Pelodiscus sinensis: one gene and its partner. The protein of the gene in region 2 interacts with the protein of the main gene of each other region in a biochemical or structural test. Links are inferred from orthologs where the notes say so. Each region holds a gene or a part of one and is shown on either strand. Other genes may lie near its edges.

Region 1 (7,981 bases), on a different chromosome or scaffold from region 2:
TTCTACCCAATGCTACCTCCCTTGGCAAAGGTTCGTGTTTATTCCCCCCACCCAGGGCATGTACAGAGCTGGAATCTCCACCTGGCTGGTTGTTTACTACTATGATTATGCACCAGTATCAGTGAGGTCAGCTGACTGAGCCTCGCATTGCACAACCAAGTACCATAGACAGCTGTACACACCCTAGTTCAGTCCTACTGGAAGAGGCTAGGGTTTAAAAGGCTCTCAGGTAGCTGTGGGAAGGCAGCTGGCTCTCACCTGGAGCTTTACCATTCAAGTACTTCACCTTCCCCCCCACCACTCCAAAAACTAACTTGAACACAACCAAGTTAACCCTGGAATTCCTGCTTTCAAAATAACCCCCTAGTACTTCCCTGCATGGAAGGTCACACACAAGGCTGACATGCAGACACACACAAGGGGACAAAGTTTGGTGCAACTCAGTCTTGTCAAATTAGAGCCTAGCTCTTCTGCAACTCATCTAATGAGCTGTTGTGGTCCTGATTTTGCAAGGATAGTCCTGTCTAGAAGCCACCAATCCCGCTGTGGGCACTGCCAAAAACTAATACTCAGTGTGAAAGTAGCATCTCACCCACTCTTTCAGACAGTTTCACTCTTTGAAAAGGCATCTTCCTTTAAGCACTGGGACCAGTTTTCTGCAAGTGTTAGTAGGGCAGCTGCCAGCCAGGAAAGGTCATTCTGGCTGTTTCCTGTAAGCACTGAATACTCCAGGCAACCCCTGCCTTTTACGGCTGAAATTCCTTTTCTGAGAAGAAAGGGAAGAGCAATCGATTCCAGTTAGCTAGACGACTGCCATTTGCCTAGTCACAGGGTTTCTAAGAAATGAAGCAGCTCTGCACAACTGCCATTTTCTGTTTCAACCAAGTTCCTTCTTTCTAGCCCCGTTGCGCACGTCAGGCCCAAATGACCCCGACTGTTCGTTTTTTTTTTGTCCCGCCAAGGGACTCTATTGCCATTATAGGAATTTAGACTCCAGGAACCACGGCCACAACCCACCAAGGGAAAAGAGCCTGAAACAAACCAGTGGACTTTAAAACGGACTGGGCACACCCTGGCAAGAAGTTGAACACTGTCGAGTACCGCCATCACTAGCTGCTGTTGGAACATCCCACCACATCCCCTCCCGAAAGGCGTCACTTGGGGTAGGTTCTCCAGAACAGGCTTAACACTCCCCCCCCGCCCCCCCAACCAATGGGACCAATCTGAGGTGCAGTTTCCACAACAGGCAAGAGGGGGCACACTTACCCACGCTTTGCACCCCCCACCCCCAGCAAGTACAGCTTCCCCTCCCTTGAGGTCAGCCTCCCTCCCTGGGGAAGCAAGAACCCAAGCCCAGCAGGCGAGACACAGCAGACAGCTCCTGGCACGAGACTTTACTGCACACTGGAATGTGGCCTCGAACAAGGGGGGGTGGGGAGGGACATTGGGCCCAGTATAAACATAAATAGAGCAAAGAAAAAACACGTCAAACAAACACTCGAGCTCCCAGCCGGGCGCCGCCCCCGCCCAGGCAGCGCTGCAGTCTCTGGGCTCCGTGCGCTCGGAGCGCCCAGCATGTCCAAAGCCCCGGCTAGTTCGAGAGTCCGCGCCGGGGGCGGGCGAGTCCTGCCGCAGGAGGGCGGCTCCGCGCCCCGCCGCGAAGCCGAGGCGCTTCCAGAGTCCTGCCCGGCTCCCGCAGCCAAAGGAAGAGCCTGGGGGGCGCACGGCGGCCACGTCCCCGGCTCCCCTCGGGGTGCTCAATAGGCCGGCACCTGGTGCTGGGGCTGCGGCAGCAGCTGGCAGCCGCTGTTGACGTGGCTCAGCACCTTCTGCTTGAGCTGCGCCACCTGCTCGCGCAGCAGGCTGGCGGTGGAGGCCAGCTCGGTGTTCTGGCTCTTGAGGCTCTTGACCTTCTCCTCCAGCCGCGAGATGCGCTCCAGCTTCCTCTTGCGGCACTTGGAGGCGGCGATGCGGTTGCGCAGCCGCTTGCGCTCCGCCTTGATGCGCTCCTGCGTGTCCATGTCGATGGGCGAGAGCGGGGGGCTGTCGCCGAAGCTGGGCGCCTCGGGCACCGTCTGCGGCTCGTCCTTGAGCGGCGGCTGGAGGCGGGGGTGCTGCGGGGCGCCCCCCAGCCCGGGCGGCGGCGGGTAGGGCACGGTCTCGGCGGCGTAGCTGGCGGCCGGGCCCGGGTAGCTGCTCAGGTTGGCGTAGACCGGCGGCTCCGGGGGCGGCGGCGGCGGCTGGGCCAGGCTGGCGGCGGGGGGCAGGTCCCCGGGAGCCCCGCCGCCCGCCCCCAGCTGGTTCTGCTTGTGCAAGTCCTCCAGCGCCTTGACGAAGCCCTCGGCGAACTCCTGCTCCTCGCTGGCCGCCACCTTGGGGTAGAGGAACTGGCTGCTGGTCGGCGTGGTGGTGACCAGCCCGTTCTGGATGATGAGCCGCTCCAGCTCCGGCGAGCCCAGCTTCAGCAGCCCGAGGTCGGCCGAGCCCAGCAGGGCCGGGCCCTCGCCGCCCGCGCCCCGCAGCGGATGGTGCGCCTGGCCGGGCGCCTTCAGGGTGGCCACCACCTGGTCGCTGAGCGCCAAGCCGAGCCCGTCCTTCTTCATCATGCTGCCGCCGGGGAAGGGGAAGGGGAGGCCGCTGCTGCTGCCGCGGGACGGGGCCGAGCCGCTGCCGAAGCCGCTCAACACATCATCATGGTAGAAGGGTATTTCCATCCTCCCCCGCCGGCTGCGGGGGGCGCCGGGCTGCTGCGCCCAAGGGGCGCCGGGCCGCGCTGCGGGCACCGGTCCCGGTCCGGCTGGAGCAGCCCCGGGGGGCGTTGCAGGGCCCGGCTGCCGGGGTGGGGGGCGGTCCCGGTCCAGCTGCCCCGGGGATGCTGCGGGGCCCGGCTGCCCCGGCCGCTGGGGGAGGGTCGGTCCCGGTGCGGCTGCAGCGGCCCCGGGGAGCTGGCGGTGCAGGCTGGACGCGCCCCGCGCTCTTCTCTCTCGCACACACGCGTCGGGGGCCGCCCCGCGCTGCCTTAAATACCCAGCGCCTGCCCGATGAGGTCACCGCGCGCGGCGGGGATTGGCCGTAGATGACGTTCTCGCCGGGGCGTATTTGCATGGGGCGGGGCCTGGCCGCCCCGCCCCCTCCTGGCGCCCCCGTCCCCATGGCGACCGGCTTGTAAACTGCACAACAGCGCGCGGCCTGCTGGGTTGATGTCATAGAGGGCGGGGTGTTTGCACAGCGGGCCCTGCCTGGGATATTTATAGGCGCGCGGGGAGCTGCCGAGCCTGGAGCTCAGCCCGGCTCAGGCTGCCCCCCAGGACCCATGGGATCCAGTGCCCTGCTGCAGCTGGGAGCGGGGCAAGCCCGTGAGGCTCCGCTGCTGCAACCCAGGCTCTGCAAACCCGGGGCACCGGATCAGCTGCTGGCCCCAGCTCCCTGCCAAACCGTGCAATGCCCCTTTGGCTTCTGCATGGGTTGGGACTGAGCCTCATGCCCCCTTTGGGCAGCCAGCATCCCAGCTGGCTCCCACTTGCAAGCAGGAAGCAGGTGCCAGACGCTCCAGGCCAACCCTCACCTTGCAGGGGATGTTTTGACTCCATTTACACTCTCCATGGCAACTCCTTGTAGTTTCGTGGCACCCACGGCAGGGTTGACAGGCTGGAAAGCTGTGGGGTGGTGAAGGGCAGGTATGGGTGCCTTCCAGGCTGGTGCAGGGGAAGGAGGCTCTAGGGAGGTGTAATGAGTTGGATGCAAAAAGGGGATGGGATTTGTAAAGGTAAAAATCCAAAGCAGAAAGGAAGAGCGGAGAGTTCAGCTGTCACTCAAGAACAGAACAATGAAAGCTCCATATAATAGAACCCTGGAAAACATCCATTGGTGTAGCAGCCAGGCAGGGTCAGCCGGCATCGCAGCAAAACAAACCTTTCCCTCGCTAAGGCCTTCAAGTATACAAGCAGCATAAACCACCTCAGCTGCACAGCAACCTGCCAGCTCCCTCTCTGGGTTTGTCAGCTGCTTTAGACCATTTCTTCATTGGGCCTTCAATTCCCTGCCCTGCCTCCCGACTTCACTGAAACACCTGTGGGGGAGCCAACCAACACAATTAACTCCTTCCCTAGGTCTTTGCAATTTGCCATAAGAATAGAAAAACATGAGACAGTGGCGATGTTCCCTCTTAAGTTTTCCATCCACAAGCGGAATAAATTGTGTTATGTGCACCAAAGCACATGCAGATGTGCACCACCAATAGAAACATGCTGCTGGCTGTGGTCAGCTAAGGGCACTCTGCCAATCAGCTGGGTGGCACCTGAATCTCTCCTGGGCAGCCACCCAAGCACTCAGCTTACAGGGAGCACTGGCTGGTGGTGATTCCCCTACTCAGTATCTGGTAGGGCTGAAGGAAGATTTCCTCCTTTATCATGACTTGTGACTAAGCCAGGAAGAGATTGGTTCATGGGTGCTGCTGGGGGAGGTCACAAGCCGAGGACCCCGGAAAAGCCACTGAACTCCTTTCAGTTGAACAAGTTTGTGTTTGTTGCCCTGACTCGGGGCGATGGAGGGAGCCAAATCCCTCTGCAGCCCAGATACCGACAGGGATTGCTGTAGAGCGGGGGTTCCCAGATGCCACTGCACTGCCACCTCTTACTGACAACAAAAATGAATGTGACCCCAGGAGGGGGGACCGAAATGTAGCCTGCCTGAGCCCTGCCATCTTGGTGTCTTGCGCTAAAGTTCTCAGGCTTTGGCTTTCGTTCAAGGCACAGCACCCCCAAGCCAGCCCTGGCAGCCCCACTAAAATGGGTTTCTGTGACCCACTTAGGGGGCCTGTGCCTGACCCACACTGTGAGAACCGCTGCGGTAGAGGCAGCATGCTCAGCCCCCAAGGAGCAGCCCCGCTTCTGCCTTCACCTGCCTTTGCTTGACTGGAGAAAGCTGCCCCAATGCAAGGCCTTTTGGGATATGCAGGGGCAGGGGGTATGTTCCTGGAGAGCTGGGTACCCACAAAGAGTTAATGTAGCACCCAGGGCACTTTGGCAATGAACTGGAAACAACTCCGACAGTGGCCGAATCCTTCTTTTACAAGGTTCTGTGTTCCAGAGTTCTGCATGTACCTGTTCTATGCTTTTCTCTGCATTGGAAACACTCAACCCAGTGCCCACCAATGGGCTCTCCCCCCCCAGCGACCTGCACCACGCCTCTGAAATGCACCAAGCCCAAAGCGGAGGGACTGGCCTTGTGCTGTTTGCACCCGGGCTGGAGTGCACGCTGAGGCAGCCAAGGGTTAATCTCCTAGGGCTCCATTAAAAATGCAGTGTAACTCGTTGGGGAATGAAAGACAGAAGCGGCAGTCAGACAGGTAGGGGCGGAGGGAGCGGCGCTTCTCCCGAAGGTGTCCGGGAGGCCTGGCCTCTTTGCCAAGCATGTCGAAGCGTGAGTGGCAGTGCTGCGTTCAGACAAACCCTCGCCAGCCGCTACACGCTTATTCCTGCCCAAACTGGTGATGTTTGGGCTCTAACCGACCCGGCCTAGCAACCCATGCAGAGAGGGTGGCTGGCTTCCAGCAGGGAGAACGCCGCGGCACACAGACCTTCGCCAGCATTTTCGTTGTGTATTTATTGGCAATAAAGGATTGCACACCGCCCTTCCCCCCACCAGCCTGGGATCTGGCACAAACACATGGGCTGGAGCCCACGAGACGCAGAGTCCCAGAGCTTCAGGCAAGCAAGGACTCGATGGTCTCATCTGAACTCCTGGATAGCACAGATCACTAGCCCCAGCCTGCACACACGCTGACCCCACCAGCTGATCCCACACGGCAGGAGGCAGGGCTGTGGGTCCCAGCCAGAGGCACTGAGATACAGCCAGAGAATCCAGGCAAGACACCTGCACCTGCCTAGGAAGGCAAAACCCTTCCAAGTTCCCTGCCGTGCTGACCTGGGGGAAATTCCTGCCTCAGCTCACGCAGGGTGACCAGCTAGACCCCGAGGACGCGAGCAAGAACCAAGAAACTGCTCAGAGCCACCCCAGAACCCCGGCTGAGGATTGTTCTGGTTGAAGAGCACTCGGAAGACACCCGGTGCTCAAGGACTTTGCCTCTCTTGCCGGAGCTGTGAACGCCGCCGCACCGGTCTCGGCTCGTCAGTGGGGCCCCCTTCCAGGTCTGTCTCCCAAAGGAGGTTTATGGCCTTATGTGGGTTGGGCTCTGACTACTGCCTCCATGGCCCCGAGCCAAGGTCAGCCCAGGCGCTCCTACTCAGACCCTAGATGTGAACATCTGGCAGCTGCTGGCAGAGGCCCCTTGACTCTGCCTCTTGCTTCCCTCCCCCCTGGCCCCCAGCCCGCGTGTGCTAAATTTGGGGCGTGGCACCAGGCCTTTGCCTGAGTCTGGCCATGTGGCCAGGCCGTCCTGGCTCCTGGCTCAGGTTACCGGCTGAAGGAAGCAGCCCCTGAGTTTCTAAATCCTCTAGCTAGAAAGTCCAGGAATGGCTTTTTCACAGCCGGTAGTGGGGAGGTGCGAGGTGATGAGCTGTAGTTTTTGGGGGATGCCCCTAGTGCCTTAGGCGATGGGTGCACGTCTTTCAGCCGTCAAAGGCAGACGAGCTAACGGGAAACGCCGCTGTCTATGGCCATGCGAATGCGCCGGGACGGCCACTAGCGGGGGGCTAGCGGGGCTCAGAGTAGTGCACCATGAATAGCCGTGGGGACGCTGCAGCGTGAGTTCTCCAGCCCCTACGTCTGCCACTCGAGTTGAGCCCAGGCAGATGCCTAACCTACAATGGCCACACGCAGCTAGCAGGCCAAGTGAGCATCAGTCTGCCGGTCTGCATCAGTGTGGGCTCCCCACTGCTGGGGGGGGAGCCCTGAGCCTGGGGGGCTGGATCCAGACAAGTCAGAGGAAGCATCCAGCCCCCAGGCTTTAAGTTCCCCTCCCCTGGCCTAAAGCATAGGGCTTTTATCTGCAGCTGGACTGAAACGGCCATTAATCGTAAAGCAGGGAGTTCCATACTCATGTTCCATCTACATTGCATTAAAACAGGGTCATATCAGGCTGCTAAGAAGGAGCGCCCATCATAATGGTGCCCAGTATGGCCAGGTAAAGAAACAGATCTCAAGATGGGTAAATAAAATGTAATTTAACACCGTTCAGTCTGGCAAGAAACTCCGTATCAATAATTGTGGCTGTCGAATCCTCAGGCTATGATTGTGGTTCTCACTGTCCGACTGTTTGCCTGGATGAACTCTGTCTGGTTTGTGATTATTTTCGTCTGCTGCATAGATAATTTTGCTAGGTGTAAATCGATGAAGGTGATGGGGTAGCAATGGTAGGTAATTCTGTTACTGTATGGGGCAACAGGTGGGTAAAATTGTAGTACAAATAATCGGTTACGGTATTGCTAAGCAGGACTCCAATTTCACTATATAAACTGGGGTCCAAGAAGGAAAGGGAAGAAAGAAACAGAAAGAAGGAAGGAACTGGAGGAAGAACTCACCTCCAAGAACCTAAAAGGTGTTAACAAGGAGGAGGGATAAAAATTGTTCTCCGTGGCATCCGAGGACAGGACAAGAAGCAATGGGCTTAAACTGCAGCAAGGGCGGTTCAGGTCGGACATCAGGAAAAACTTCCTGCCTGTCAGGGTGGTTAAACACTGGAATAAATTGCCTGGGGAGGTTGTGGAAACTCCATCACTGGAGACATTTAAGAGCAGGTTGGACAGACGCCTGTCAGGGCTGATGTGGTGCTGCCGTGAGGGCAGGGGACTGGACTCGATGGCCTCTTGAGGTCCCTTCCGGTTCTGTGATTCTGTGATTCTAAGTCACAGCCTACGACCAGAGCTGCCAGGACTCCTCTGCATGACCAGGATCCAGAGAGACTGACCTAGCCTGGCCAAAAGGGGACGTTTCCGTGTCTTTCTCAGGATGGGTGCGCATGCCACTGTGTGCTTAGCACGTGTATTCTGCTTGCTTGGGAATTGCTACTAAATAACGCGTA
Region 2 (7,719 bases):
CTGCGGGGGGGGGGGCACTAGCTGCACCCCCCCACCCAGCAGACCAGGGGGACGGGAGCAAAGCCTTGGAGCACGCCCGCTGTGAGCGTGCTCCAAGGCTTTGCTCCCCGTCTCCCTCCCTCCCCCCCGCCTGGGCGGCTTTGCTCGGGTGTCCCTGGTCTGCTGGGGGGTCCAGGGGCTCTGCTGCCCCCCCCAGCAGACCAGGGGGACAGGAGCAAAGCCACCCAGGCGGGGGGAGTCCCGCTGCCTGGGCGGCTTTGCTCTGGTGTCCCTGGTCTGCTGGGGGGGGGGGGGTCCAGTGGCTTTGCTGGACCCCCCCTCCCCCAGCAGACCAGGGAGACCGGGAGAAGCTTTTCTTGCCCCAGAGGACACGGGTGGCGATCCGCCGCCCGTGAGATCCGGGGCGAGAGAAGCCCTGTTCGTAAGTGCGGATCCGATGTAAGTCGGGGACTGCCTGTACAGTATTGGAACAGAAATACACTATATAGGGGAAATCATAGCAAAATGACAGCCTAGCATACTCTAGAATAGCTCTTCTAAAGAGCCCAGTTCTGTGATGGCTTTACATTGCTGTAGCCCCGCTGAGTTCAACAGAGTTGTTCTTCAGTTGCATGTGGAAGGGAGAGGAAAATTAGGTCTTTTATGTTTATAGTAATATCAAAACTTAACAGTAGCAAAGCCACAAAAGACTCAGGAAATCAGATTTCATCTAAGAAGTCATTAAGCAGGACTGATATTTAGGAAAGTAAATTTTATATATTTATATTTCATGAGGCCTGTGATACCAGAGGAAATCATAGGTAATACCACTGCTTAATGAAGCTTCTCCACCAGAAACAACAAATGAGAGATCAGAATTGGGTCCCAGATTATATATCTTTTCTCTGGCAGATATCCTACAGCTCCATACGTTTAATAGAAGAGGGAATGCAGAAAGCTTTTGCTAAGAGGATTTGAGCCTTATTGCTTAGCTATGTTACTGGTGGCCATATTTATGTTTTACTGATATGGACACTGAAAATGAAGTGTGGAGGTGGGAGAAGCAGGATTTGGGCCAGAAGATGGTGAATGAAAGAATCCTTTTCCCTGTGCCAATTCAGGATGGAGATTTTCTGAGAGTCCACAATAACAGAGCAGCAGGTTATGAGTTAGTGTAATTGCTCTTTGTAGAAATACCCAGTGAGTAATGCTATAAATGCTTTGGTGATCATATACTGTACCTAGATCAAGACTTAGCGGCTACATCTAGACTGGCATGATTTTCCGCAAATGCTTTTAACAGAAAAGTTTTCCGTTAAAAGCATTTGCGGAAAAGAGTGTCTAGGTTGGCCCGGACACTTTTCTGCAAAAGCACTTTTTGCGGAAAAGCGTCCGTGCCAATCTAGACGCGCTTTTGCGCAAAACAAATCTGAGCTGTCTACACTGGCCCTTTTGCACAAAAGCTTTGCGCAAAAGGACTTTTGCCCGAACGGGAGCAGCATAGTATTTCCGCAAGAAGCACTGATTTCAGACAGTAGGAAGTCAGTGTTCTTGTGGAAATTCAAGTGGCCAGTGTAGACATCTGGCAAGTTTTTTCTGCAAAAGCAGCTGCTTTTGTGGAAAAACTTGCCAGTCTAGATACAGCCAGCAATAATAATTAAAACTGACTTCAGCTCACTGAAACTATTACTGTTTCAGTCAGATTGATCCCTGCGTTTTCTGGTAACACTAGAGAAAGGAAACCTAAGAGGATCAGGGAATATTCAGATAAAGGAAGGTGGAAAATATTTGTGAACAGTTGAAAAGCAAAACTACCAAAAGTATTTAAGCATCTTGTGGATCTATTGTTTGCTTTAACATCCTCACATTCTTGATGGATATATCAGTTCATATTAAGTTGAAACCAGAACAAACCCTACATCTTTGCTGTCTGAGGTCAAGGAGAATTTGACATTGAAGTAAATAGGAACAGGGTGGGGCCCTGTATGTTAATGAAACAAAGTGCAAAACTTTGGTTTCATTTTTATTATAGTTTCATTTTCTTCTGACTGAGGAATTTCATGCCATGATAGTGTACAGAACACTAACTTTAAAACATGCATATTTTCTCCCTCTATGTTTATTCTAAGGGGAGGAGCTCTCTCATATCAATAATTTAATACATAACATACCTATTTTATGGTCAACAGCATTTTTCATATTAAACATATTTCCTTGCCAATGATGATAGTAGAAGTAATGAAGCTGCATGAAGCAAAAGTATCGGTCTGCTTAGTATTATATTATACCTGTGAAACACTGATCATGACCATTTTTAGTGACACTTAAAACAGGTTAACAATATTTATCTTTGTTAGGTGTTTCTCACCAATCTGAAAGATGAAGTAATGTATTTAATCTTCCAAATTGCCTCATTTGTGTGACTTTGTTCAATTTAATTAAAAATGTTCAAAATAAAATTCCATCGATAATACAAGTAGGTAAACAATTCTGGGTAGTTGCTGAAGTTTCTGTATTACACTCAAGGTAATGTAGCAAAATAGCTTCCCATAATAACTCCATGTTTCCAGAACTTTCCACAACATTTACATTTTGGGATGAAATTCTCCATGTTTACCTTCTGTCTTTTTGTGAGACTGAGCAAAGTCCTTCCAGCTATTTTTGGATGTGGCATGAGTGAAAAAAATACCCCTTTGCTGTATAAACAATTTAACTACAAGGCTACTTTAGAAAACAGCTGAAGTTTGAAGCTTGAAACTAGTCATAGACAAGTCCCCAGTCCCCAAGAAAGAGTAATTTTTGTTGTTGTTGTTAGTAAAATAATTGCAAAAATAAAATTGGATTTACAAAAATAAAACCTTGTGAAGGGTGTAAACTGGCTGAGATATTTACAGTTCCTGCAGATGTGTACTTAAAGAGGGGTGACAACTATATGAGTGCACAGTTAGGTTGTGTGCAGCAACTGATGTTTTAGAACTTGCAAGGGATCTAAAACTGAACAAATAACTGGAATAAAGAATTTGGCATTAGAATCTATAAATCCAATTATACCAGGTCAGGGTGTTACAAGGAACAAATGTACCTACACACTGCAAAGATGATCTAAAGTATGCAAGCCAGATTTTCTCTGTCTAACCCCACCCCATTCTCCTTAAAAAGTAGGAAATTAAATGCAAAATGCCATTGTTAATGAAGTGTTTAAATTTGTGAAATGAAGCCATGCAAAAGTCATGACATTTACAATTTTAAAGTTATCAATGTTAGATTATCCCCAATGCACATAGATAGCCCCTTATTAAATGCAGACCTTAAAGTAGTACTCTTGCGTGTTAATACATTGTATGTATTTACTGATGTATATCATAATATGCATACACACTCAGTACACAAAGTGGCTGAATTAACATGGCTTGAATGCCTGAGTTTACAAGTTAAAGTTGTGTTCATGCTATTTTTGTATGTATATGTAAGTATAATGTTGTGTATATGTGTGCGTGTCTTCGTGAATACTGAAGTGCATTAAATTATATCTTAACTTTGTTTCGTGGCTGTTAGAAAATAAAGTAGGATGTGAACTGAAAAAAGGAAAACCTTCTCCTCCCCGTAAGGCTTCAGTCTTTCTCCTCCCTGAAGCCAGAAGGATGTTAGTTGCTATGTTTTAAAAAGGCTATTTTTTTAACTCCCTGATGTATCAGGAAAGGGGGTCTTTAATCTTTCCGGCTAAAAATTAACGTCAGCCCACTCAGTTTGTGCACTGACCATTTAGGGGCTCTGCAATCGGGGAAGCACATCGCTGTGACGAAGCTCATATTTTCAATTCTTTTGCAAGCTTCAAAAACTAGCGCAAAGAGGGTTTTGCTTTTCTGAATAAAAAGCCCCTCTCGCCCACACCCCCGATTCCTAAGAAAGCCTGGGAAGATGCGGAATAACACACGCCCCGTGCCGAAGCGCCCGAGGAAGCACGTTCCCGCCGCACGGGGGAAGGGAATGGAGAAGTGAATCTTCTCTAGAAATCATGATCGGACAGTTTTTGGAGGGGAAGCTACCTGGGCTTTCTGCCCTTTCCAAAAGGACCTCGAGTCTCTCAGTGAAATGCCCTCCCCTCCGAGGGCTACGGCCCTTCTCTCCTCGCACACCTCAGCTAAATCTCCAGTGGGGACGAAAACTTCCAAGAAGGCGCGAGAGGCACCGGCGCGGATTGTGGCAGTGTCAACGCGCGAGCCCCACGCTGCTCCCCTTGCACAGGGGCAGCCCAGCAAGGCTGGCGCTCGTACACACCCTGTTCACACACACAGCGGCGCGGTAGCAGGGAGGCTAAAGGGCCGCACAAATGCCTGATGCACAATTGCACGTTCCCCCCCTACACACGGAGAGATCGGATGGGGGATTTTCCAGCCGTTAAATGGCTACAGAATCCAAGCCTTTCCCAAAGGAGCCCTTCAACGGACCAGTTCTACCCCTAATTCCGCCTGTCTGTCATTGCCATCCCGGCGCCGCAGGCTGCCAGCGATTCGCAGTCACGCAGGTAGCTTGGTCTCCATTGGCTCCGCAGGGTGACACGCAGCTGCCGGAGTTAACATCTGGCGGCGCGCCCAGGCGGCAGCAGTCCTCTTATGGGGCGTGTGCGTTCCAGCCAGCTCCCTGGCTCCTCCTCCCGGCCGGGACCGGGAGCGTCTTGCATCACCGCCCGGTGCGCGCTGCTCCCCCGCCTCCTCCGGCCCGGCTATTAATAGCATGACATCAGCCAGGCGCTCGCCGCCAGAGTAAATACCAGCGCTGCCCACTCGCCTATATAAGGAGGGTGATGCAACCCCTCGCACAGGCAGATTCAGGCGCGTCCGGGGAAGGAGGCTCTGCTCTCCTATCGGCGAACTCGGAACTGCCCGGCAGCGGCGCCCCCAGCCCGAGAGACGCGGGCAGCCCCTGCTTTCAGCGCGGGCTCGCTCCTCGCTGCGCTCGGCCCCTCTGTGCTTGTCCCGGCAGCGGAGAGGCGCCGTGAGAAGCGGCGGGGAAAGGTCAGTGAGCTGGGGAAGGGAGGCGGGCGGGCGGCGGCGAGGAGACCGCGACTCAGTCAGCTGGTTCTCCCGGGAGCGTCGGCACTTTGCTAAGCGACTGATCCCAGCCAGGGGACAGGGTCTGCCCGGGCCAGTCGGGCGGGCTGGCGGCTTTGCGATCGGATCGTCCGCAGAGCCACAAGTGAAAGCAAAAGCTCGCTGGGCAGAGCGGCGTTTCTGAGTCCTGGAGCCACGCGCACCAAAGAGACCCCCCCCCCCTTCTGCCGCTTGGGAGCCTGGCACGCGCCCTGCCCCCGGGCACGGCTCGGGAGCCCCCTGTGACACCGAACAAGTTCTCACAGGAGTCCGAGCCCCCCTTGCGCGTCACCGGCCGGAGCCTTGGGCTTTATCAGTCGAGCCCGGAGCGGCACTTGTGGAGCGGGGCAGATGTCGCATCTGGCCACCCCCTTCTTCCGGGCGGCGAGTTTGCCGATGTGAGCGCCCGCAGTTGCTCTCTTGGCTGCTTCATTCGTTTCTCTTGGGCCGGGGTAGCGCCGGAGGCCACGGGGAGGAGGGGGGGGGGGCGCATCGCTCGACAGTAAGAGCGCGGCTCTGCTTGTCGGCGGGACGCCCATCGCTCCTGAGCTGCTGCCAAAGTTTTGCCAAAGTAATGTAGAGAAAAAAGTTAGTGACGAAGCTCAAGGCACCCTCTGACTTCTGTAATGAGGTAACGGCGATGACTGTGTCGGTTGAGATGAAGGATACACATAACTCCCAAATGAAGCTCTTTTCCTTTGTTATTTTGGGGGAACAGTGACCTCTTTTGATTAGAGTACACACAGACAAGAAGTCATGTCATCCTGCGAGGGGATGAAGAATTAGCGAGAAAGTCACTATTAGACAATAATCGTCGTTTTTTCTCCACTGACGACTAACCCGAACAAGATCAGTTGCTGAACTGTTGCCTAACTAGGATTGAGTGACGACGCAACAGAAAACTGTTACACACAGAACCAGTTTCCTGTGTGAAATCGATTTTCTTGGTAGTAACAACAGCAGAGACGTTCGAAGCCTGAAAAAGAGGTAGTTATGATCTGGAATGTCAGAATCCTAAAGGCCAATTTGAGTACACAGAGGTTGTGAACGGTAATTGCCCTTTAATGCCCTGTCAGATTAACCTGTTTGGCTCTCATCGTTTATTACGTCAGCAGCCGAGGAAAATGAATTTATCTAGGGAAATACAGCTAAGTCATCTGCAGTTAAACCAAATGGAAGCTAGGAGTGAGGGTGCCCTGAAGTGTTAATTATTAATATTAGCATTAAACTTGAGCACACTTTAAATAACATAAATGCTAGTTTGGACTTCCAAGAATGTGTCCTGACACAACTTCTCAGAATGGGAGAGGGGAAAACTAAAAGCAGTGGGGAAATTATTAATAAAATAACTATAAATGGAAGGAAGCATTAGTTTTGAAAATTATCTCTGAATAACTAGCAATGTATCCTGTCTGTTATAGAAACAAAACTGTCTAATGGGATCTTATTTGTAAAACTTATTATTTTGTCTTGATCATAAGATTCTGATGGAGGAGTGAGCACTTGCTCCAGGGATGAATTGAGCCTCTGTGGTCCTATTCTGTGGGGTGTTCAGCACCTCCATCTTCCACTTCAGTGAAAGATAAAGATGTTCAGCACCTTACCAAGTGGGATCTATGTAGTTGTATGGACTTGTAGTTAAACAGAAAGGCCTAGATGTCATTTTTTTTCTTGGGTTAATTATAGAGCAAGTCCAATTGTGTTAGTGCTTTACAAAGTGAACCAGGTCCTTGACCCAAATAACTTATAGCCTTAGATAATTTATAGGAAAATGACTGGGGAAAAAAGGATGCAAAACAAAATGTTTAACTTTTGCTTGTTCTATCTTGAATAAAAAATGTTTCTAACCAGAGGATGATATCAACATTACAATTTTATATCTATTTACCAAGTATACATCTAGCATTCTGTACTTCTGATGTAGTCTACCCAGAAGTGATGTCAGTGATTAACTAGTGGCTGGGCTGGAGCAACTTCTCGCCCACCTGTGGTGCAGTGCGGTAGGCCCAGCTGGACTAGCCCCCAGCCTCAGGCAGGCTGCAGCTCAGCCTGGCCCGCCATGCTGTGGGCGGTGGATGCTCCATCCAGCTGAAGCAGCCTCCACCTGAAGTAGGCCCTGACCACAGTCTCTGTACTTCTGATATGGTTCTGATTTATCATTATTTGTATTCTCATAGTGTCTGGAACCCCATGGAGCAGAACCCTACTGGGCTAGGCACTATACAAACAAGACAAAAAGACAGTCTCTGTCCCAAAAGAGCTTACAAAACAGGTCACCAAAACCAAAAAAGTTGAAAGTAGCAGCAAAATCCACCAAAGAAAAACTAACCCAAAACAATATTCCCACAAACCTACCTGCCCACAATCTTCAGCCCCTTCATGAATAGCAGTGTCTTTCAGGATGTTGGAAGGTCAGGAGACTTGGGCAATTTCAGGCCAAGGGGAAGTGCAAGTTCTGAAGTCAAGGGTGACTGTAGAAAACAGTCTCCCATTACTCTTAAATCATGGAGACATCAGTAAAAGCAAATAAAGTTATAAAAGGGATTCTAGCAAAATTTTGTTGCTAGTGGATATTTGAAAATAACTCCTCCAATTACTAATGAAAATCCAGCATGGACAATATTTCTCATGATATTTTCCATTAAAACTG

Evidence for each region. The genes of interacting proteins can lie anywhere in the genome.
Region 1: the proteins of ATF3 (region 2) and JUND form a complex in vitro, tested with the Homo sapiens proteins (2 studies listed by BioGRID and IntAct, with this or other methods). The link is inferred for Pelodiscus sinensis from reciprocal best matches to the Homo sapiens genes ATF3 and JUND.

Annotation. Positions count from the first base shown.
Region 1 is NC_134729.1:20,092,861-20,100,841, reverse strand, and holds the start of JUND (transcription factor JunD), read right to left. Parts: upstream 3,017-7,981; 5' UTR 2,715-3,016; coding exon 1,758-2,714; 3' UTR 1-1,757. UniProt on the Homo sapiens protein: Transcription factor binding AP-1 sites.
Region 2 is NC_134713.1:147,437,669-147,445,387, forward strand, and holds the start of ATF3 (cyclic AMP-dependent transcription factor ATF-3), read left to right. Parts: upstream 1-4,701; 5' UTR 4,702-4,994; intron 4,995-5,007; exon of another isoform or gene 5,008-6,056; intron 6,057-7,719.